Linked DNA regions of Rhinolophus ferrumequinum. The protein of the gene in region 2 interacts with the protein of the main gene of each other region in a pairwise test. Links are inferred from orthologs where the notes say so. Each region holds a gene or a part of one and is shown on either strand. Other genes may lie near its edges.

What was found. The genes of interacting proteins can lie anywhere in the genome.
Region 1: the proteins of ARAF (region 2) and TIMM44 interact in binary tests that used the Homo sapiens proteins (3 or more experiments, as listed by UniProt). The link is inferred for Rhinolophus ferrumequinum from reciprocal best matches to the Homo sapiens genes ARAF and TIMM44.
Region 3: the proteins of ARAF (region 2) and RRAS interact in a two-hybrid assay, tested with the Homo sapiens proteins (2 studies listed by BioGRID). The link is inferred for Rhinolophus ferrumequinum from reciprocal best matches to the Homo sapiens genes ARAF and RRAS.

What each region holds. Positions count from the first base shown.
Region 1 is NC_046301.1:56,910,652-56,917,825, reverse strand, and holds the start of TIMM44 (mitochondrial import inner membrane translocase subunit TIM44), read left to right. Parts: upstream 1-4,172; 5' UTR 4,173-4,268; coding exon 4,269-4,313; intron 4,314-6,074; coding exon 6,075-6,176; intron 6,177-7,174. UniProt on the Homo sapiens protein: Essential component of the PAM complex, a complex required for the translocation of transit peptide-containing proteins from the inner membrane into the mitochondrial matrix in an ATP-dependent manner.
Region 2 is NC_046284.1:86,427,602-86,435,015, reverse strand, and holds the start of ARAF (serine/threonine-protein kinase A-Raf), read left to right. Parts: upstream 1-4,401; 5' UTR 4,402-4,493; intron 4,494-5,814; 5' UTR 5,815-5,873; coding exon 5,874-5,969; intron 5,970-6,125; coding exon 6,126-6,229; intron 6,230-6,993; coding exon 6,994-7,096; intron 7,097-7,186; coding exon 7,187-7,341; intron 7,342-7,414. UniProt on the Homo sapiens protein: Involved in the transduction of mitogenic signals from the cell membrane to the nucleus. May also regulate the TOR signaling cascade. Phosphorylates PFKFB2.
Region 3 is NC_046298.1:44,726,024-44,733,589, reverse strand, and holds the start of RRAS (ras-related protein R-Ras), read left to right. Parts: upstream 1-4,564; 5' UTR 4,565-4,609; coding exon 4,610-4,762; intron 4,763-6,762; coding exon 6,763-6,850; intron 6,851-6,937; coding exon 6,938-7,040; intron 7,041-7,120; coding exon 7,121-7,229; intron 7,230-7,566. Other genes in the region: SCAF1 (splicing factor, arginine/serine-rich 19), read right to left, coding at 148-261, 361-393. UniProt on the Homo sapiens protein: GTP-binding protein with GTPase activity, likely involved in the regulation of MAPK signaling pathway and thereby controlling multiple cellular processes. Regulates the organization of the actin cytoskeleton.

The DNA of each region.
Region 1 (7,174 bases), on a different chromosome or scaffold from region 2:
TCCTCCACTTACGACAGGTTATGTCCCGATAAACCCATCATAAATTAAGGATGCCGCAAGTGGAAAACGCATCTGATACACTCACCTACCGAACACCACAGGTAGCCCAGCCTCCGTAAAAGTGCTCAGACACTGCTGGGCACAGTTGTCTCACTGCTGCCACTGCTCAGCGTCATGGGAGAGTATCGCACTGCCTGTCGCTAGCCCGGGAAAAGATCCAAATTCCAAATTCGAAGTACGGTTTCTACTAAATGTGTATGGCTTTCGCACCATTGTAAAGTCGAAAAATCCTAAGTTGGACCATCATAAGTTGAGAACCATCTGTGTATATTTTTATACATATTTGTTTGTTTGGATATATATATATAAATATATATATAGCCATATAATATATATAATATATAATATATATAGTGCACTATATATATATAGTACCAAAAAATGTGTACACATTTTAAGAAAGGAAAACTGTATTAAAATTGTAATACTCAATATATGTATACCAATAACAGAGATGAATACAAGTCACGTTTGACTTCTGCAATTACAAGAGGTGCTCGAAGTGGTTACCATCAGTGTAATTTTAATATAGTTTTTTCCTTTCTTAAAATGTGTATACATTTTTTGACACCCCCTGTATGTATGTATGTATGTATGTATGTATGTATACACACATACACAGGCACACATGCATGCAGTCTGACAATTAAGTTCGCAAACTTGTTGCAATGATGTGACTAACCTTTTTTGATATCAGAGGGATTATTCATTATGAATTTGAACCAACTAGATAAACAGTTAACCAAGTTTACTATTGGAAGTGCTGAAAAGGCTGCGCAGAAAAGTTAGACAACCTGAACTTTTCGCCAACAATTTATGGCTCTTGCATCACGACAATGCACCAGTTCACGGCACTGTCTGTGAGGGAGTTTTTAGCCAGGAAACAAATAACTGTATTGGAACACCCTCCCTACTCACTTGATCTGGCCCCCAATGACTTCTTTCTTTACTCAAAGATAAAGGAAACATTGCAAGGAAGACATTTTGATGACATTCAGGACATCAAGGGTAATACGACGACAGCTCTGATGGCCATTCCAGAAAAAGAGTTCCAAAATTGCTTTGAAGGGTGGACCAGGCGAAGCGTCCGTGCACAGCTTCCCAAGAGGAGGACTTGGAAGGTGGCCGTAGTGATATTCAGCAATGAGGTGTGGAGCACTTTTTCTAGGATGAGTTCAGACCTCGTATGTATATTAGAGAGAGAATGCTACAGCAAGTGAGGCAAAATGAATCTACATGAAGAGTATATAAGTTTTGATTATAGTATTCTTGCAACTTTTTTGCAGCTTTGAAGCTTTTCAAAATAAAAAGTTGATGGGCCGGCCTGGCGGCTCAGGCGGTTAGAGCTCCATGCTCCTAACTCCGAAGGCTGCCAGTTCGATTCCCACATGGGCCAGTGGGCTCTCAACCACAAGGTTGCCAGTTCAATTTCTTGACTCCCTCAAGGGATGGTGGGCTCTGCCCCCTGCAACTAAGATTGAACACGGCACCTTGAGCTGAGCTGCTGCTGAGCTCCCGGATGGCTCAGTTGGTTGGAGCGCGTCCTCTCAACCACAAGGTTGCCGGTTTGACTCCCGCAAGGGATGGTGGGCTGCGCCCCCTGCAACTAGCAACAGCAACTGGACCTGGAGCTGAGCTGCGCCCGACACAACTAAGACTGAAAGGACAACAACTTGAAGCTGAACGGCACCCTCCACAACTAAGATTGAAAGGACAACAACTTGACTTGGAAAACAGGCCTGGAAGTACACACTGTTCCCCAATAAAGTCCTGTTCCCCTTCCCCAATAAAATCTTTAAAAATAAATAAATAAATAAATAAAAATAAAAAGTTGGGAAAAACAAACAATCAAACCACCCTCACTCTTCCACACTTGTTTCTCCAAGCTGTCGTCATTCACCTTTCGCTCACAGCAGATATTCCTCAGAGGAGTCTCTGGGCACTCCCTCTATGTGCTGATTAATTGTTTAATAACTGTCCCTCCAAACAAACCAAAAAGCTCCTGACCTATAGTGTTTGTCAATTCCTGTGGTGTAAATACTCCCACTATGGCCAATTTCAAACTACTGATGTGGTGTCTTTAAACACAGACTCAGTATGCAGTGCAGCAGCTCATATCATATAGTATTTCCAGAGCACAGATGTGATATATGTGAATAACCTCAGCAGCACAGATAGTAACATGTAGTAAAATAATTAGGAAGTGTTGAGTTTTGAGTATTTATTACCTTTGTCTTAATATAATCCATTTGATCATAAGGTTATACAATCCATTTTTAAATAATGGCTGTGTTTAGCAACTGGCTCAAAATTCCTAAAAATTTGACAGTTGGCTTTCACCAGCCAGTACACACTGGCTCCAACACACCCCTGTAAAAAAAAAAATCTCAACCCACTGAAATCTGACTTCCACAGACACCATTCAACCCAAACCCTCTTGCTTGTCCCCCCAAGCCCTCAATATTGTAAAATGCAAAAATGACGGATACAGTTCTGGCCTCACCTGTCTTGCCTGAGCCCTCTGCAGCATTCAACACTGATTACTCCATCGCCTTCTCCAAGGCCCTCCAGGTTCTCTTCCTACCTGTTGACCAGTCCTGTCCAGTCTCCTTTAAAGGCTCTTCATCCTCAACTTTACCTTTGGGCCTTTGATGTGCCTGTTTGACACATTCTTCTTGGGTGCCCTTGTCCACCTCCATGGTCCCAACTGATAGGTCGGCCGATAAAGGACCGTGTATGGTCAGGCACGTTAAGAAAGTTTATTAAGAGAAAGTCTGTCGGGCTGAGCAAAGATGGCTATAGCCCAGGCTGCCTGTCTAAAGGAGATTTGTAGCCCCAAGGGAGGGGGTGAGGAGGGTTATGTAGGGGCGGTGCTGACAGGGTAGCATTGTTTGAGCAGAAAATGCTCACTGCCTGTAAGCCAGTAGCTGGTTTGTGGCGTTTTCTGTTATCGCAAGTTTGGCTCTGTCTGCAGGTGCAGGCTAACAGATATTTTGTTGTTTTCTTGCAGACATGGCTCTGTCTGCAAGTGAAGGTGTCTGAGACCTAACATTCAGAGACCTAACATTAAGTCAAGGTCTCTAACATTCAGAGACCTAACACCAACTACAACTAAGAAGCCCAGACTTTCTTCTCAACAACAAACCTGTATATCCCAACCATGTAACTAGTTTGCTCCTCTTGGAGTGAAGGGATTTCAAACAAAGCCAGAGTAGAGCCTTCATGCCTTGCTCCTACCTTGAGGTGAATCTCCTGAGGGACAGAAAACGCAGATCTATCCAACCCTGAAGCCAGAATGTGTAGGTTACCTCTTTCAAGTCCCATAGACCTTATCACAACTTAATAATGCAAATGCTTCCATTGGGCAAACACAACATACATACATTAACTCTCCCAAGGGACCACCCCTCCCTCTTCCCAGCCTCCGATAGCGTGGCCACGTCAAGGTACCGCCACTTGGTGGCGGCATTCTCTAAATGGAAAATAGTACTTGGGTGCTGAAAGGACAGAGGCCCGAGATTCTTCAGGGCAAGGTATGTTAATTCGCACTGAATCGATGGAGGGGTGGCCCACACTCAACCTGGTCTCAGCGTCCCCTTCCTGTTCTGGACCAAAACCATCAGGCGCCTTCCCAAAGTGTACAAAAGAGCTCACTCGCTCTTGCTCTTGGAGCAACACAGTTGCCCGTCTGTCGGTCATTGTCAGTCTGTCACTGTCAGTGAGAGCTAGAGTCAATCACGATCGGGCTGGTTCGCTGGTCAATGAGTCAGAATCCAACTGAATCCGTACTTGTGATAGGTCGTTCGGCCTGCTCGTCCTTCCCGCCACCAGAAAGAACCGCGCGTGTTCTGTAGGGGAAGCACTGCTCGCGAGGGAATCCACGCCCTCAGGCTCCGCCCCTCTGTAGTAGTATCCAATTTTAGGTCTCTACCTCACAGGAGTTCGAGTCAGAGGTCCGCTCTTCCAAAATCCTGTCCTATCAGAGGCCTAGCTCTCTAGGAATTCCCCGCCCCCTAATCAGGCCCCGCCCCTATAGCAGACCGCCCCAAGGCCCTGCCTCCCTGGGGAGTTCTGTCCAATCAGAGGCCTTTTCTCTCCTCAACCGGGTGCCGCGGTCCCGCTTTTCCCAGGCCCCTGGCGCTCGGCGGAGACGCGAAGGATGACGCCATCGGGCCGCGCCGAAAGAAGGTCACACGGGATCCTCCAACATGGCGGCAGCGGCGCTGCGGGGAGGCTGGTGCCGCTGCCCGCGGGTGAGCGGACCTGTGGGGCCGGGGTGCCAAGGGGGAGTTGGGAGGGTGACCGGCCTAGGGACCTCTGGGCCCGCGACCTCCAGGGCTTTCTCCTCACGCCTTTGGCCCCCTCGGCCCTGCCCTGCGCTCGGCGAGAGGCTTGGGGTTGGCTCGTTGAGTCAGCTGAGGCTGGGGCAGGCGACCCGGAGCGAGGCCTGAGCGCCGACGCCGAGCGTGCCGGGCAGGGGCGGTATTGCGTGGGGCTGGGCAGGGAGCGGATCGGCGTCCCTCGCCTCCTGGTGAGACCCCACGTGCACCGCGGAGTGAAGGGTGGCCTTGGCGCCCAGTGGAGAAAAAGTACCGAGAAGGCAAAAAACCGTGACAGGCATGGCTCACGTTTATATGCCAGGGCCTCTGTCGAGAGCATTTCCTGCATTGCCTCTCCTGTACGTCTGTGTGAAAGTGCGGGAGGTAACTCTGGCTCTTGCTAAGGGCTGGGCTCAGAGGGACGGTGGGAGTCAAGGCGTGTAAAGCTCACGCAGAACGTAGTACTTTATGTTGCTGCTGCGGCCGCTATTTCACAGGTTAGGAAATGAGACAACCTTTTCAAGCAACCTGCCCATAGTCTCAGAGTTAGTGGGGTGGCTGACTCCAGAGCCAGACTCTGGAGGAAGGGAAATATTTCATTGGAATCTGAGTGTCGGGAGAAAGAAGGTGTCTTTGATCCTGGATTGATTTTTTTTCTTGGCTGCCTGTCTTTTGAGTCACGGTTTAGAGGTTGAATTTACACGTTTTTGGATTTGGACAACACCAAGGGGGAGTTACCCTCAGGTTTGGTTCTGCTATGGAATTTCTCTCCCAAGTTAGACAGCCATCTCCTTCCATTTCAGACTGTTACTGAAGTCAGTGGCTCCAATGGGTGTAGGCATTTAGAGAAGTAAAACAAGTTGTTTAAACGCCCAAGAGTTACACTTGAGTAGCTGTAGGAGATGGTGGTATCTGTGTAAGTTTGGGATGTTGCCTAGGGTTTCTGGAGACAGGAAGCATGGAATGCAGAGGAATGGCCCAGGGAATGTGGAAATGGAAGAGTGGTTCTATCAGGTTTTTGACATCAAGGCGTCTGGCTCCGTGCTGGATGCTAGAGTGCAGCATTGAACAGGACCTGCACAGGCCCTTCTTTCATGGAGCTTCAGTTCATTATTTGGTAGAAGAAATGCCGTTCACATGAGGTTGGCAACATCTTTGCCCCAGTGACTCCCTAAGTGGCCGTGCTTGCAGCCCAACCCTAGACCAGGACATGGTAGGTTTATTCCAGGGTTGTGCCTAGGACAAAAAGTTATCAATGTTTACCTCTGAAAGCCCAGGTCTCTGGTCTTACAAGGCCAGCAGAAGTGGGGTGGGCTTATGAGAGAAGACTGCTTGCCCCTGGCATCGAGGATCAGCCTGCCCATTTTCAGACTAAGGGATTAAATTAAGCTGACACATTTAGCCTTCTTCCACAATAGGTTACCATTTCCTGGGACGCATCTGGTATCCCCCAGCTTCAGAGGGAGGAGGGTAGGTATAGGCCCTGGAGGTAGAGATTCCATGTTTTATCTTTCCACCAAATTCCACTGGCTTCTCAGAACTTGGGAAGATTGTAGAGCGTCTAGCATGTGGCAGGCATGCAATAAAAATGGGCAAATGAGACTAAAGCAACCCCTGCTTTTTTAGTGTGGCCTATACTTATTTTCTAGTCACCCTCTCATCAGAATGGATCTTTCTCTTTTCTCCCCCAATTAGAGATGCCTCGGCAGTGGAGTCCAGTTTCTATCCAGCCACAACCTAGTGCCACTACCGCAGGGTACCTATCAGCTACGCCGGCCGGGTGGAGAGCTGCCCCTGGTGAGTAACTCAGGACACGAACTAGCAGACGAAAGGTGGGAGGCCTGAAAAATCAGACCTCGTTGACAGGAGACAGGGCTGCAGGATGTTGCCCATATTGCCAGTGGCATCTCACTGGCAGGCATCCCATATCCAAGGCCTGCAGAGTTACAGTGCCCAATGTGCCTGGTCCTCTCTGCATCCTGGAAGTGCTCAGCGTTGTTAGAGACAGGGTCTCTGCCTCACAAAGTAGCTCGTTATGTCAGCCCCAGTGATTAGAAGGGCATCTCCTGTACTGAGCTGAAATCCACGTCCCCATGTCCTTCACCAAACAAAGCTGTTTTCTTTTCTGGGTGACAGCCCTATAGGCATTTAAGCAGAGTCACCCCTCATAGCCTGGGCCTCAGTTTCCCCAGGCTACATCTCCCCCATCTTTTATGTTCCTCACAGGTAGCATTTTTCTAGAGCTGTTGCCCTCCCCATCACTCCTCTTAACCATACTTCTGTTGGTACCAGCACAGACAGGAAAGCCCTAAACCTGACACTCTTCCCTAATCTGCATTGGGCAGCCCTCGCTCTCCCTTCCCAGTCTCATCTCATCTATTTCCCTGCAGGCAGCTAGTTACCTGCGCCTGCCTCACTCAGCTTTACCTCCCTGATCTCTCCTGGGGTTGTTCCAGGTATGGGGCAGGCCCTGTGGTCGTTCCCCTTTATTGTCCAGTCTCTCCCCCCCCACCTCGAGTTTGTAGCCCGAGTGAGTGACAGGGCTGCTGCACGGCAGTAGGGTCCCTGACAGTCTTCAACTTGGACTCCCCTGGAGAGAAAAGCTGGCCAGGCCTGGCCGCCCCTCCCGTGGAGCAGCACCTGGGCTTGGCGCAGCTCTCCCTGGGGCTTGACAGGGTCGAGGGAGGCAGTCACCCCTGAAACCAGTAAAATGAGCCCCCAGCCACAGCGGCATACCCAGCACACCCTGGGGGAAGCGGTGGTTGCAGCTGAGCACACGCAGCCGCCTGCCAGTG
Region 2 (7,414 bases):
AGAGCCCACGTCCTCTGCGTAGCTATTGGTCTGCCAGTGGCTCCTCGGAGTCTCAAAGTCCAGTCTCTTCTCGTTCTAAATGCTAGGGTGAAGTAGAGCCTATCAATGCCCGTGGCATCCCAAAGCCCGCCCTCCACTGCATCGCTATTGGGTGACCTCGCTGCCTGTCCGGGGCCTGGAACACTGAATGTCTCACTCCAAACCGCAGCGGGGGCCTAGCGGAGCGGATAGTTGAGGCTTCTCAGTTGGGCCAGTGAGGCACTCAGTTTTGTCTCGGTCTGTGCGTGGTCATCTCTCCCGACACGGGTAGCTAGCGGAGCGGGAGGCTGTGCGATGGGCTGTCGGACGTGGCGTTCTGCAGGCGGCGGCAGGGAGAGCGAGGGTGGTGAAGTTGGGAAATGGGAGTGGCTGGTTTAGAGAGCCTCAGGCACGCTGGACTGCTGGGGCGGAGCCAAGATTCCTTACAGAGGGGCGTGCCCCTGGCCTACACCCTTGTTCAAACACTTTTTACCAAACTTGAAATGCTGGAGTTCTCTCTCCTCTGTCCTTCCGGTTAGGGCAGCCTGAACCTCAATTGGATCAACTGTGAAATGGGTAGGGTTACAACAGTGGTTGGTGAACACTTCAGATTTTGTATGTTTTTCAGACATATTTCAAAGAATTGAAAATCAACAATTATAAAAACCAACAACCATTTTAAAATCTTTTAAAATTTCTAGGTGGATAATTTCGAGGGGAATGTCAGAAAAAACAATCAGCTAGTTCAGGTTTTAATTTTTGTTTTAATATATGGTGCGCTTGATGGTTTTTAATGTGATGATGATGATGATGATAAAAACCCAAGTCACTTTAAAGGCCTTCATGACTTGTTAAGTACCTGTGAAGTACTTGGCTGAAGTCGTGCCAGTTGGGATGGGTTTGGAGTGAGTCCCTAAGGGAGAAAGCTTTGTCCTTGAGTGAGCCATGACCCTCTTCCATCCTCCATCCCTCCTTTCTGGCACAGCATGTCGAATTTTGCTTACCTTTTTGTAAATGTTGTGCAACGGAGCCAGAAGTCTGTCTTCAAATACTGCCTAGAAATTAAAGTTCTAAAATAAATTAAATAATATTCAAATGAAATGAAATTTAAAATGCACTCCCCACCCCTGACATTATTCTTCCTTTTGGAGAGCGTTTTGGAGCCCCTCACTGAGCTCCAACAGGAGTTGTTTCTGACCCCATGTGGTGCCAGGGCTGCACCACTGGGAGATGGGGATGCCGGCTCTAGGGCTTCGAATCAGAAAAGAGAATTAAAAAAAAAACAACTCTAATCACTAAGAATTTGTAAGAATTCAACATGTTTAAAATTATGTTTGAAGCCCCCTTTTTTGCCATGCTCTTTTAAATTGAGGTATATTTTACATACAATAAAGTGTACCCATTTTCAGTATAGAGTTTGATGAATTTTGATAAATGAATACTGAACTGTCCAGTCACCTCCAAAAGTTCCTTCATGCCCTTCTCAGTCATTCTCCCACAAGACAACTACTCTGCTTTCCTTCACTATAGATTAATTTTGCCTGGCTTAGATGTTCATACAGATGGAATAATACAGTATTTATCTTTTGTGTCTGGCTTCTTTCACTCGATCTTATGTCTGTAAGATAGACACATGAAGTAGTTTGTTGCCTTTCATTGCTGAGTAGTGTGAAAAGTAATATAAATGGAGCCACTTTAAAATGGAGTCAGAGCTGCTATCCCAGAGGAACTGCCTTGCACATCTTCCGCCTCAAACCTATGGGATGCATAAACTGGGCAAAATAACCTTTGGACTGGACCTAAAGCAGCATGGAATCCCCAAAAAACTGTTTGCAAAGATAACAAGAAAGCAGATAATATGACTAATGGACTGAAAAGTTCAAAACATTCTTTAGCACTAGCATCACTGTTAGCTTATTCTCACTTACAGAAATGCCTTCCTTCTATTGATGTAATTGTTCCCCATCGCTTTCTCATAAATACTTCTTGCCTTGCCTCCTAATGGGAACACTATTTGGGTTTCTGCCTGAATCAGTGCTTTCCAAATAGCTCTTCTTTGGATCTCAAATAAATGCTCATTGCCTCTCACTTTGGCCTTCTAATTTTAGGTTAACAGTAGTATTCCAGGATCCCATTTTTGTGTTTCTTGGTCAATTCTTTTGTTGCTGGACACCTGGTCTGTTTGCAGTTTTTTTTTTTGCTATTATGAATAAAGCTAATATGAATATTGGAGTATAAATTTTTGTGTGGGTACATTGCAGTAGCATGCTGTGGCTGGCTCACCAGAGCCAATTTTGCAAATCTCAACTCTGGTTCAATGGTGTCATATTAGTAGCTTGAAATAAGCCATGGTGGGAGTGTTTATGTCTTAGTTGGCAAACACTACAAATTAGAGCTTTTTTCCTGGACAGCTGGTTGTTAAACAGTTATGAGCACGCCATTGGACATGTTTTCATTTCTCTGGAGTAAATACTGAGAAATGAGACTGCTAGATTGCATGGTATGTATATGTCTAACTTTACATGAAGATGCCAAACTGTTTCCAAAGTGGTTGTACCATTCTACACTCCCAATGGCAATGCATGAAAGTTCCTATTGCTCCACATTCTCATAAATATGCGGTATTTATTCCGTCTTTTTCATTTTAGCCATTGAATGGTGAAGATCCTAATAGAAAAGAAACGATGGGAAATAGAGGTTATATGACAGCCTAGTAAGCAGAACTTTTGTCTCTCTCCTTATAGGCAGAGAAAGCACTTAATAAATACAAGTTGAAGTATGTTGAGGCCCCCTCACCTAATGACCTTTCTCTGATCCTTCCCACTTCATCAGAGGGATGCTGAGGCTCCAAACAGGAGAATGTAGTCACTTCAAACAACAGGCTGTTCAAAAAATTAAAAGTGAAATCTCGTGCCAACCGGTGAATCCTCCCCACAGAGGTAGAAAAGAATTAAATAGTTATACAGTAGTACCTCGGTTTTCAAACGTCTCTGTTGACGAACATTTCGATTTACAAATGCCATAAACCCGGAAGTAAATGCTTCGGTTTTCGAACACATCAAACATGTCACGCGGCTTCCTCTGAGTGCAGGATCCCGACACCTCGCTGTCGGCTCTTTACGAACGTTTCAGAACTCGAAGGGTCTTCCAGAACGGATTACATTAGAAAACCGAGGTAGCACTGTATTATCAAAAAGTGTTAAACCAGACTGCAATGTGCATCACAAGCAATTCGCTAAAGAGATTGCAAGGACAGTAAAACCTCATCCTTTAAATGGCTGGGGAGATACAAGCCATTACATACTTGTTCTCAAGAAAGGCAATAACTTGTCCTTAAGTAAGAGAACTTGACAGTACCTTTTGCTACACAGTTCATCTCAAATTCACCTGGTAACTGGGGTAGCCATCTGTCTTTATCCAAAGAAAAAAAATAAAACACCTATCTCTTTGACAAGCAGCTAACAACTTGGCGCCAGACGCCTAGGTCAAATTCCTACCTGACGGAGAAGGGGCGCTATCTTTGTTGATGTTTGCATTTCAAAGAGATGACTCCAAGGCCCCTAAGAACAACATCCTTGGGTTGTAAAACTGGCAGGAAGCCTATTTAGCTTGTAAAAAGATTTACATACATCTCGAGGGGACAAAAAAATTTACAAGTTTTCTAAAGGAAATGCTCTAAGAAAAGGGAGGGTGGAAAGTCTCTTTCACTTTTGACACCAGGTAAAAGTCATCTTCTAAAAAATTGTAATTACCCCTCAATTCCTCCATACATTTCCCTGCACTTGTGCCCCATTCCAGGTCCACACTTCCCTCCCCTCTTCACCTGGCCATCTATGACTAGCCTTACAAAATCCTTATCAACCCCATTCCTAAAGGACAGCTCTCAGAACAGCAGGCCACTCTTCCTAGTTCCAGACCCCCAGGCCGGCCACACTAGAGACCCGCTGTTATCTAAGGCTAGGACTTCAGTTTTTCAGAATTGGAAAACGTTGCTGATATTTGGTCTGATTCCAACCCATTTCAAAGACGGTAAAACGGAGACCCAGGAAACTCCCAAACGGCTACTTAGGCCTCCGGGTCACTGGAACAAAAAGGGGCATTTAAGGATTCTCCGCCCAGATTCAGGAAGCCCTAAAGTCAGACCCAACTGACCGAAAAAAAGCCCCACTTTATTCTGCCACGGTACGATTGGGTTAAAGCCCCTGGCACGCAGGTCTCTTGACTGCGCCTGCGCGACTCAGGACGTGCGAATTTGCCCCAGACCCAGACGTTTCAAGCAGCCCCTCCTAATCCGGAACAAGACCCACATTCCGCCTATCCTGCCTTGATAGGCGTGACCCTAATCCAATAAGGATAGAGGGCTGAGTCCTGTGGAGCCAATGGCGAAAGTCCGAGGGGCGGTGGAGGCGGACTCTATGAGGAAACAAGAAGACAGGCCCAAGATGGAGGCGGCTGCGGCCGTTGCAGCTTGACAGGTGAGGGCGGGCCCCGCAGGGTTAGGTTTCTGGAGCGACCGCCGGGCATGGGCAAGGAGCCGGGACCGAAAGCTTAGCTCCAGGGTGGCTGCGCCTGGGCCCCGGCGCCCCCTGCCCGGAACCGGAGGAGTGGTTTGACCCGGGGCGAGACCATCGGACAGCGGGGGGTAGTGGTGGGTAGACAGGAATAGGGGTGCAAGGCTGCGGGGGGATGGTTTCGCCCGTCGCGTGTGGTAGCACGCCTGCGCAGAGTTGGAAGGCACTCAGTAGGCGGGGCAGGGCTGAATTGGGCCTGGGCTGTGGTGTGTTGTTCCCAGATCCCCTGTAAACCTTCTTAAGGTATCTGATGACCCTTCTTTACCAACAGTGGGGAATGCATGGGGACGCGGCTCACTACTCGCTTGCTTCTTCTGGATCAGTGTCTGACCCACTAGGAGAATGTTTGAGGATTACCCCCTTACTCCTCCTTAACCCTCACCAGCCTCCTTCCATTATCACCAGAAATATGTCTGTCACCCCTTAGTTGTCAGCGAGAATTTTGGAGCCTCCCTGCTTTACCTCTATTCATCTCACCTCAACAATGACTAATGATTCACCATTACCCTCCTTTTCCCCATGACAGTGTCCGGTGACCACCTTATCCATTCTTCTCCCCATTACAGTCTCTAGTGACCTCTATTACATCTTCCTTCAGCATAATGTCTGCTGAGCCTTGTGATCTCCCGTCACAGTCTGGTGACTCCCATTAGCCACCTAACAGTGTTTGTGAGCCTGCCGTCATGGCAGGCCAGGGCTTAGGTAGGGATGCCCACAGTACCCTTAAGAACACTCTTTGGTGCAATTCCCATTTTCCCCAAACGAAGGGCAATAGCTGATGATCTTCCATTCATTCCCCTTCACTCTGTCTGTGACTCCTCCCTCAGCATAGTATCTGGTAACCCCCTTCTCCATTAAAAAGCCGGGACACTGTTCGTGTCCATTATGTACCTGACACACCCCAGTGCACCGTGTGCTGACTTCCCCATTAGCCCCCAGCACAGACTTTTGTACTCCTGTTCCCTCCAGGACAGTGTGTGCTGTCTCTCGTTGTGTCGTCCCACCCCCACCTGGCCCCATGCAGTGAATCCGAGATCTTGGCTGGGCTGAGCAGAGGAGGAACTGGATCGGCTTCAAAGTGTTAACAGGCTCCCTTGGGCTGCTGTGTGGAAATTAGGCTACTGGGCGTGACGTGGAGCCTGGAGGTTGAAATTCTTTTTGTTTCCTGCCACTGTGCTTCCAGACTATCATTACTGGACCTCTGAATTCCTCCTCTGTCTTCTAGGAGCCCCATGGCACCTGCCCAGCCCCGCCTCAGCCCATCTTGACAAAGTCCTAGGCTCCATGGAGCCACCACGGGGCCCCCCTGCCAACGGGGCCGAGCCGTCCCGGGCAGTGGGCACTGTCAAAGTGTACCTGCCCAACAAGCAACGCACAGTAGTGAGTCTGAAGGGAGCAAACCTGGTAGGGGTGTGGATGGACCCAGTTGTAAATCTTGGGTCAAAAGGGTAACTAGGGCTGGGAGGAGGCTTTGGCCGAGGGGTGGGAGAGTTAGTTGGGGCCCCTGTTGGGCACTGATCCCCCACATCTGCACAGGTGACTGTCCGGGATGGCATGAGTGTCTACGACTCTTTAGACAAGGCCCTGAAGGTGCGGGGTCTCAATCAGGATTGCTGCGTGGTCTACCGGCTCATCAAGGGGTAAGTGTGGCATACACCTCGTCCTCTGCCCACTGGGTGCCCAGCCTCCCAACTCCTCCTCAGCGTCATCCGACTCCTTCACTCTGTTGTGGAGTCTCCGTTAGTCTTGCCTTACTTAGTTCAGTGAATTTGTGAGTCCATCCAGCTTTTGTTTCGTTACTTCGTTAGTTCATTGGCCTGTCAGGTCAACATCTCACTCTCTCTTTGACCCCCAAGTCTTCACCCTGCTCCATCACCTCCTTCCAGAGTTCATCTCTTTTGTTCTTTCACTTTTTCATCAATTTGTTGGCTCTGTCCTACCTCCATTTTCCCATTATCTGTCTGCTGAGTTGGGCCTTCCATTTATTCTTCTGTTCTGAGGTTCCTTAATTTTTTTATTCAATTCACACATTGCTATGTATTTGTTGTTTTAATGCCTCATCGGCTGTTTTTTCTGGGGCTTCCTTAGCACTTCTGAGATTTAGTTGTTTAGTCACCATCTCATTTGCTTCTCACCTTGTGGTTAAGAGCATGGCCTCTTCACACTGTCCTGCTACTCATAGTCCCTTGTGGCTTTGGGCAAGTCACTTTATCCTTCTGAGCCTTAGCTTCCTTATCTGTAAAATGGGGGTAAGGATAATAACTAGTTCCTAGGGTTGCCGTGATGGGAATGAAACATGGTAGATATTGCTCCGTGGATGCAGACTTGGAGGTACCTTTAGGGGTTCCCTGCCTCCCCGAGGCCCTGTCCACCCTCCCACTCACTCCTTTCATACCTCCTGCAGGCGAAAGACAGTCACTTCCTGGGACACTGCCATTGCCCCCCTGGATGGCGAGGAGCTCATTGTGGAGGTCCTTGAAGATGTCCCACTGACCATGCACAATTTTGTGAGTGCAGGGGGGATAGTGGGTGCAGACCCTGGGCGTGGGGGGAGGGTCCTTGACCAGGCCTCACCCTTCCCTGCTTTGTGGTAGCAGGTACGGAAGACGTTCTTCAGCCTGGCGTTTTGTGACTTCTGCCTTAAGTTTCTCTTCCATGGCTTCCGCTGCCAAACCTGTGGCTACAAGTTCCACCAGCATTGTTCCTCCAAGGTCCCCACAGTCTGTGTAGACATGAGTACCAACCGCCGACAGTGAGCCTGGCCTGGGGTGGATGGGGGGATGGGGAGGACAGATGCCCAGCCACAAGGTTCTTACAGAGAGCTC
Region 3 (7,566 bases), on a different chromosome or scaffold from region 2:
AGACACCCTACAGCCAAACTCAAACCCTTCAGAGGAGCCAAGAGTGCAGGCTCCCAGCCCCGCCTCCCCCGAAGGCCCAGGAGTCGGGCCCTGGAATCCAGACTCCCAGCCCCTCCTCCCTTGGCCCCAGATGTCTAGCAGCCTCACCAGGATAAAGGCAGTAGGAGAAAGCGTAGGGTCTCTGTCCGGGGGACCATCGCCCCGATCTTCACCCGACTCCTCTGTTTTCCCTCGAGACTCATCTTCTTCCTCCATGGTCACCTGGAAGTTGAGGGGGTGAGTTTGGAGTTCAGACAAACAGGGCTGTGGGGTGGGGTGTGGGGTGTGGAGGGGACAGAAGCAGAGGACGAACACAAAGACCTCAAAGGCCTCCACCATTGCCTCAATCAGCATCCTCTTCAGTGTCCCTCCTCTCCGCCACTCATCCCGGTCCTTGGGAGGGTACTGGGTCCAATGCAGATACCAGAGGGACTAGAGCGATTCTCTCCCCTGGTCTGGATTTCAGCTGCCTCCTCTGTTGGAAGGGAGGCCCTCCCAGCCTATTTCAACACCCCACCCCCCAGTTCCCACCGTTTCCCCCACAACCAAACTTAAGACCTCACTGGCCCACTTTCATGGGAGCCAACACAATGCCAAGATTTTTTTCTGTTGAGTTGTGATTTCAAATAGTGTGCTCCATAGTCTCATACACCTAGCTTTCCCAAACTGAGGTATGCGCCAGTGTGCTGGGTGTATCTCAAATATGACACAACTTCCTAAAGCATCAATCTTCCTCGATGGTGAGGAACGAGAAACAATTTATTTATATATACAATAGAAAGTGGACCCATGATAACGTGATTTACAAAACCAACATGCCACTTTTGAAATGAAAACACTAATTTCAGAAAGGTGTGCTGCTCACCAGAACCCCTGGGGACATCTGCCTATGTCCTGTCTGCCCATTGTGTGGAAGCATGGCTAAAGCCTTTACGATATCACAAAAATTCATAGATTATACTAAAGTTGAAAGGTCATCCTTCAGATTGGGGGTTGTCTTAATTGGGCTTCAAACAACAGGAATATTTCAGCTGTGGGATTGCCAGCGACCATCAAATCTGCTACTCTGAAACAATATCCAGTCTCAAAGTTTCTAGAAAGCTTCAAATCCCTAACCCCCAACTCAGTGTGCTTATCTGTATGTGGCAGAATTGGAGTATCTACCTCAGAGGAAGGCTGCGAGAAATTGAAAGGAGACACTTCTGCCACAGTGTTAGCATAACCCAGTACTCAATACAGAGTAATAATAATAATCGTTATTAGTCTTTAGGGCCCAGGTTTCCCCCCCCGTCTCCCCAACTTCCCCAGCTGTATACCTGCAAAGAAAAGTCCTCTGTCCTGGTCTCCCTTGGACCAGATGTTCAAGCTTTGCCAAAGTTCCTCCATGCAGCCTCCCAGCTCTCTAAGAGCCTGAGGTTCCTTCCCTAACTCGCATTGACACCCACCCTGATAAGGCCCTAAGGACAGTTCCAGCCCTGGAGCTGCTCACCAGCACCTGGGGGCAGGGTGGGGGTAGAAAGCGCAAATTACAGTGACTGTCACATAACAGAAGCTTAACCAAGGTCTGACTACAAACACACAGATCCCAAACCCTCAGCAGGTATGAAGATGCTCCCTTGCCCACGCAGACATGCCCCAGGCTCTGCAGATACACCCAAGGCTCCTTGGGTCTTTTCCATATGAGAAGGCCCTGCAGACATTGCTAGATCTCTCTAGATCAGTCATTCTCAAACTACAGAGTCTGACAGCAGTATATTGCTTCACAAATAGCTTGTTATAAAAAGTAAATCAGATGCTGAAAATTATTCATAATACATCGCAAGTAGTAAGTGGAAATATCAATTAATGGGACATGGGTATTAACTTAAATACATGTCGGTGGGTACTGGGCCTCAATGAAAAATGTATATTTTCTTGCTATAGATCAAGGTCAAAAGAGCTTAAAAAGCATTGTACTAGATGATTCTATAAACTTTCCCAGACTAATGTAAGCTAATTCGAACTCTTGCCATAACACCAGGGCAACACAAAATTTTAAAATATTTTTCATCTCAATTACCTTCTAAAGTGCAAATACACTTGAGCTCAGCAAATTTTCCAATACTCTCCTTTGTCTTATTCTCCATCTGATTATATGGCCCCAAACGGCATTCGAATTTGCTGCAGGCACACTCAAAGCCACCTAGATGATTTCAGGTCCTTTTAACTGCCCCAGCCCCCTGTCACCCAGATTAAACACCTCCCAGATGATGGAGACCTCTCAGCACATCTCAATATTTGCCTCCCTCCCTTGGTGAGCACATCCCACCTCTAAAAGACTTTCTAACCCAGGAAGTTCTTTCAGGCCCGCTAAACGGCCCCGGACCCAGGTAGCTGAGTGGCATCCTCACGTCAGCCCATGTAGACACTTCCCAGCCCCAACAAACATACCCCAGGCGCTATAGATGGCTCTGCAGAAACTCCTCAGCTCTTGCAAACCTCCTTCACCCCTGGGATATATCTCAAGATCTCAGGTTGGCCCCAGAACCCTATGAACAGACCCTAGCCTCCGGTCAACCCATAAAGACGATCAACAGTGCCTACAGAGATGACCCAAGCCGGCTATATGATGGAGGGCAGGCGCCAGCTTCGGTCCAGACCCTGTGGACGTTCCCAGTTCTCCCGGGGATGCTCCGTAGGTGGCCCCCGGCACCCAGAGACACGTCCCAGGGCCTTGAGAAGGCCCCCCGTTCGGCGCCAGGTTCCGCCGCCGCTGCCGGGCCAGAGGCCACCCCGCTAAGTCCTCCAGACCCTGTGGCGTGTTGGAGAGGACCCCAGGACTACTAGCGACCCGACTCCGCCCCGCCCACCCCAATAGGCCTGAGCCCCGCGGTCCGGACCACCGCCGCCATCTTACCCCGCCGCTCGGGCTGCGGCTCCGGCCCCGGCGCGGGGCGGGGCGGGCTGGGGCGGGGGGTTCGCTAGCGGAGGGAGGAGAGGGGCGGAGCTAAAACGCCGCCGAGCTTGCCGGGACTTCAAGTACCGAGCACGGTGCCGTGAAGGCTGGTGGGAAGGCTCCGGACTCAGTTTCCCAGAAGTCAACGGGCCACACGGGCAGGGGTGCGCCGGGAGGCGTAGTCCGCGCGTCGCCTCCGTCACGCGGGCGCAGCAAGGAGGTGAGAGGTGAAGTGGGCGTGGTTGCAGTAGCCCGCGATGAGGCCCCACAATTCCATGCGTACGCGCGGAAAGAGCTGCGGAACAGGACGTGACGTAAAGAGCACTCAGCCGGACAGATGCAAGGGAATTGTAGTTCCGCGGAGTAAGTAGTGGAAAAAAAAAGCTGTCCTGCCTGGGAATTGTCCCGCCCACATTGTGGGGATCCCAGAATCCCGATCCCCCCCAGTCCCCTCTAAATTTAGAACCAAGAAGCCCTGCCCCACAGCCTCCTTCATTTAGGTCCGAAAAGTCCAAATTCCGATTCCTCTCACTTGGCAGAGGAGTCCAGACTCCCATTTCCCTCCTCCTTCCTTATATCCAGGAGTTGGGCCCTCAGGCTTTTCCTCCCTCAGACCATTTCTGGTCTTAAGCTCGTACTTTACATGAACACAAGTGTTCGGGTTCCCCACACCAATTCCCTCGAGATCCAGAATTCTGGGTTCCCAGAGCCTCGAACCCCGGGACCCAAGAATCTGGACTTCCAGCTCCCTCCTTTACGAAACGGGTAGTCCTAATAGTAAGGACCCCCAGATCTCCTCCCCTCCGGGATACGGAACTCCAGGTCTCCAGACCAGTTCTCTCCTACGGAGTTTCCTTCTTCAAAGATCCAGAAATCCTGGCTCTAGGCCCTTCATGACCCAGGCGTCCCGGCTTGGGCGAGCTGGCTCATGGATTAGGAATGCAGTGATCTCACGGCCCCTCCCTGCCCCGTTACCCGGCTGTCCCCCTCCAGGGCCCCAACTCCCCTCCCAGTCTGTCTTCCGCTTGGCTGGGACTGCGGCAACCGGAAGCCTGGGTCCCTTAGCGGGCGGAGACTCCAACATCCAGCCCAAACGCCCGGGTCGGCAGTTTGGCTCAGATCCCAGGACGGAGGTGGAGCTTCCCCTCAGGACCTGCTCACTTCCTCGGAGCGCGCCTATATACGGCCGCGCGCGAGTCGGCGAGCCCCGCCTACTAGAACAAGGCCTTGGGGAAAGTGCCCTGAGAAGCTGCTTCACAGGATTCTTCATTTGCATATCCCCTCCCCGAATAATCTTCCCGACCTGTCTGCCGAAAGAATGAGCTCTTATTAGCATAGCCACGCCCCCAAACGGCCCGCCTGCCCAGAGCGCGTGGAGCAGCTCTGGGTAAGCACAGTTCTCTCATTAGCATATCCCCACCCCTTTCGGAATTCCCCTTAGTGGCGAACGTCGTTCCCCTGCCTTTATTAGCATAGCTCCTCCTTTTCCCTGGCCTTACCTCCTCAAGTGTTCCGAGACTTGTGCCCTTCTTGCCGGAGCTCATGATTATGCAGTAGCCTTATTAGCGTGGCCCGCCCCTAGGCCCCGCCCGGCTCCCCCCAGGCGGTAGCGGCGGCGGCGGCAGCGGTGGCGACATGAGCAGCGGGGCGGCGTCCGGGACGGGGCGGGGGCGGCCCCGGGGCGGGGGGCCGGGACCTGGGGACCCCCCACCCAGCGAGACACACAAGCTGGTGGTCGTGGGCGGCGGCGGCGTGGGCAAGAGTGCGCTGACCATCCAGTTCATCCAGGTAGTGGGCCCTCACCCGGGGGGTGTCCCCGGGACCCAGAACGTAGCCCTTGGGGGGGATCCCTGAGACCCCGATTTCCCCCTCCATCCATCACTGAGACCCTCCTATGAGGCCCTCTAATCTTAAAAATTCCCCTCAGATCGTGACCCTGAGCGCCCCAGGACCTCCACCCCCTACATGAGGGACCTTCCTCCTATACTCATCCTGAGACCCACCGTCCCTCCTGCCAGAACCCCCCTTCCCTGCTGACCTGACCCAGATCACCTCCTGGGAGCATCCTAAATCCATGTCACCACATTCTGACCTTAAACACTCTCGTGTGTCCGCCCGTAGGTGCCACTTTCCCTCACCCTGAGTCCCATCTCCCCCAAATCCTAGGCTCCAGCTTCCCTTCTGAGCCACCCAGAGCCTAACTTAGGAGAAAGCCTGTGCCCAAAGCCCTTGAGATGATTCCAGTCTGGATGCTTAGCTCCTTCAGAGACCTCCCTGAATCTAGAAATTATGCCCAGACTGTTCCTGAGGCCAATCTGGGACCACTCTAAAAGAGGCACCCTCAGACCCTAGGAGAGTTCAAATAGATCCTGCCAGTTGGCTCTTCCAGAGAACTGTAAGACCCCCAAGTCTTGTGGCTCCCCCATCCTACCAGACCCAGACCTCTACCCTCCCCCAAGGAAAACCAACCACTCCTCCATCTTGAGTTCTCCTCCATTCCAACTCTCTGAGCCCCTCTCAGAAACTCTGGTTAGCCCCCAAATCTCCATGGAAGAAGCCCCCAGATTCTTGATATCCCCAGAAAGATCCACTCCTTGGGAGTGTCTCTGACCCCATAAATGCCTGTCAGGGTCTCTAAGACTCTAGACACACCTGACCTTCTCCTGAGGTGCTCTGAATACACACCCCTAATTCCCCCAGGGCCTGGTCCCTACACCCTCCCTCCAGCACAAGCCTCAACAAGCACACCTCCAGAAGACTGGATGCAGCCCTCAGACCCCCAACTACCATATCTCCCCTTCTCCACTTAAAATCCACCCCTGCCCAGGAAACCTCCACCCCATTCCCAAGGGGAACACCCTCCCACCTCAGAGAAACCCTAGAAAGGTGTCTGCTCCTGAGACGCTACTGCAGAGGCCCTTGGGTCCCAGACCCATTAAGAGACCCCAGCCAGGCCTGCATGGCAGCCCTTGTCTGTGTAGAGAAAGGCCCCCCGTCCCTAGGCCCCTGTCCCTAGGGGCAGACCTGAAGCTGTCCAAAGGCCTGGCTGGAGGCGGGCGGGACGCAGGAAGGGAGGGGCCCAGCCTTAGGGCGGGGCAGTTTCTCCACAGTTGGATTGGAATTGGGACCTTCCCCTGGGAGGAGACACTAAAAGCCGCCCAAGGAGGGGGGGGGGGAAGGAGGAGGGGGAAAAAAGAGGGAAGAGAAAAGGGGGGAGGGAGAGAAGTAGACAGGCAGATAGTCTGGTTCCCAGTAACTGAGCGAATACTATGTCCAGGGAATGTGTTAAATGCGTAGATGTCAAATGGATTTTTCCCTGAATCTCACAAACACTGGATTAAGTGTAGTGCTATATTTACCCTCATTTTCCAAATGAGGAAACAGGTCCAAGAGAGGGGAAGCGATTTGTTCAATGCCACACATCCAGGACATAATAACGATTTGGGAGATATACTTTATACCAGAGAGGACCAGGAGAGCCTTAGGGACGCGGCTGGGGGGAGGGGGCGGGACAGAGAGCCAGAGAGAGAGATTCAGGTTCAGAGAGGATGGGCAGAGAAAGGTGGACCCCAGGGGCAGGGCTATGCCATTTCTGCTGGAGATATACTTTATACCAGAGAGGACCAGGAGAGCCTTAGGGACGCGGCTGGGGGGAGGGGGCGGGACAGAGAGCCAGAGAGAGAGATTCAGGTTCAGAGAGGATGGGCAGAGAAAGGTGGACCCCAGGGGCAGGGCTATGCCATTTCTGCTGGGGCACTACAGTAAGTGTCCTCTCCTCACCCTACCAGTCCTACTTCGTGTCTGACTACGACCCCACCATCGAAGACTCCTACACAAAGATCTGCACCGTGGATGGCATCCCCGCCCGGCTGGACAGTGAGGGTGGCAGGGAGTGGGTGGGGGAGGGTGGGGGTGTCTAGGGAGATCTCGGTCCCCACAGCAGCCCTCTCCCCCCCTCTGCAGTCCTGGACACTGCGGGTCAGGAGGAGTTCGGCGCCATGCGGGAGCAGTACATGCGCGCTGGGCACGGTTTCCTGCTAGTGTTTGCCATTAACGACCGGCAGAGGTGAGAGGAGCCGGGAGGTGGCAAAGCAGTGGGGACCGCGGCTGAGCTGCTGAACCTCACGCCTCTCGCTTCATCTGCAGTTTCAATGAGGTGAGCAAGCTCTTCACGCAGATCCTCCGAGTCAAGGACCGCGACGACTTCCCCATCGTGCTGGTCGGGAACAAGGCAGATCTCGAAACACAACGTCAGGTCTGGGACCGCCGGGGACCCCATCTCAGCCTGGGAGGCTGCTTCCTTCCAGTGCACCGCCTGCCTCTCTTCATATCAGCATCCTCCTCTGGCTCTTGCAGTCCTGCTCCCTTTATTGTCACACACCTCACTAGATGTGTTGCCACCAAGTCAGACCTTCTGGGTCAATTGGCCCTGACTGCCCCATCCCCGCCCCTTGTTCCCACCTGGACCCTTGCGCCATCCGCCTGTTTCTCCCTTCCAGTCAGTTTCCCACTGGGTACCCGCTGCCCCGGCCCCTTCCTCTGCTCCCAGCCCTCTATGGCTCCCCAGCACCGCTGGGAGAAAACCTCAGCTC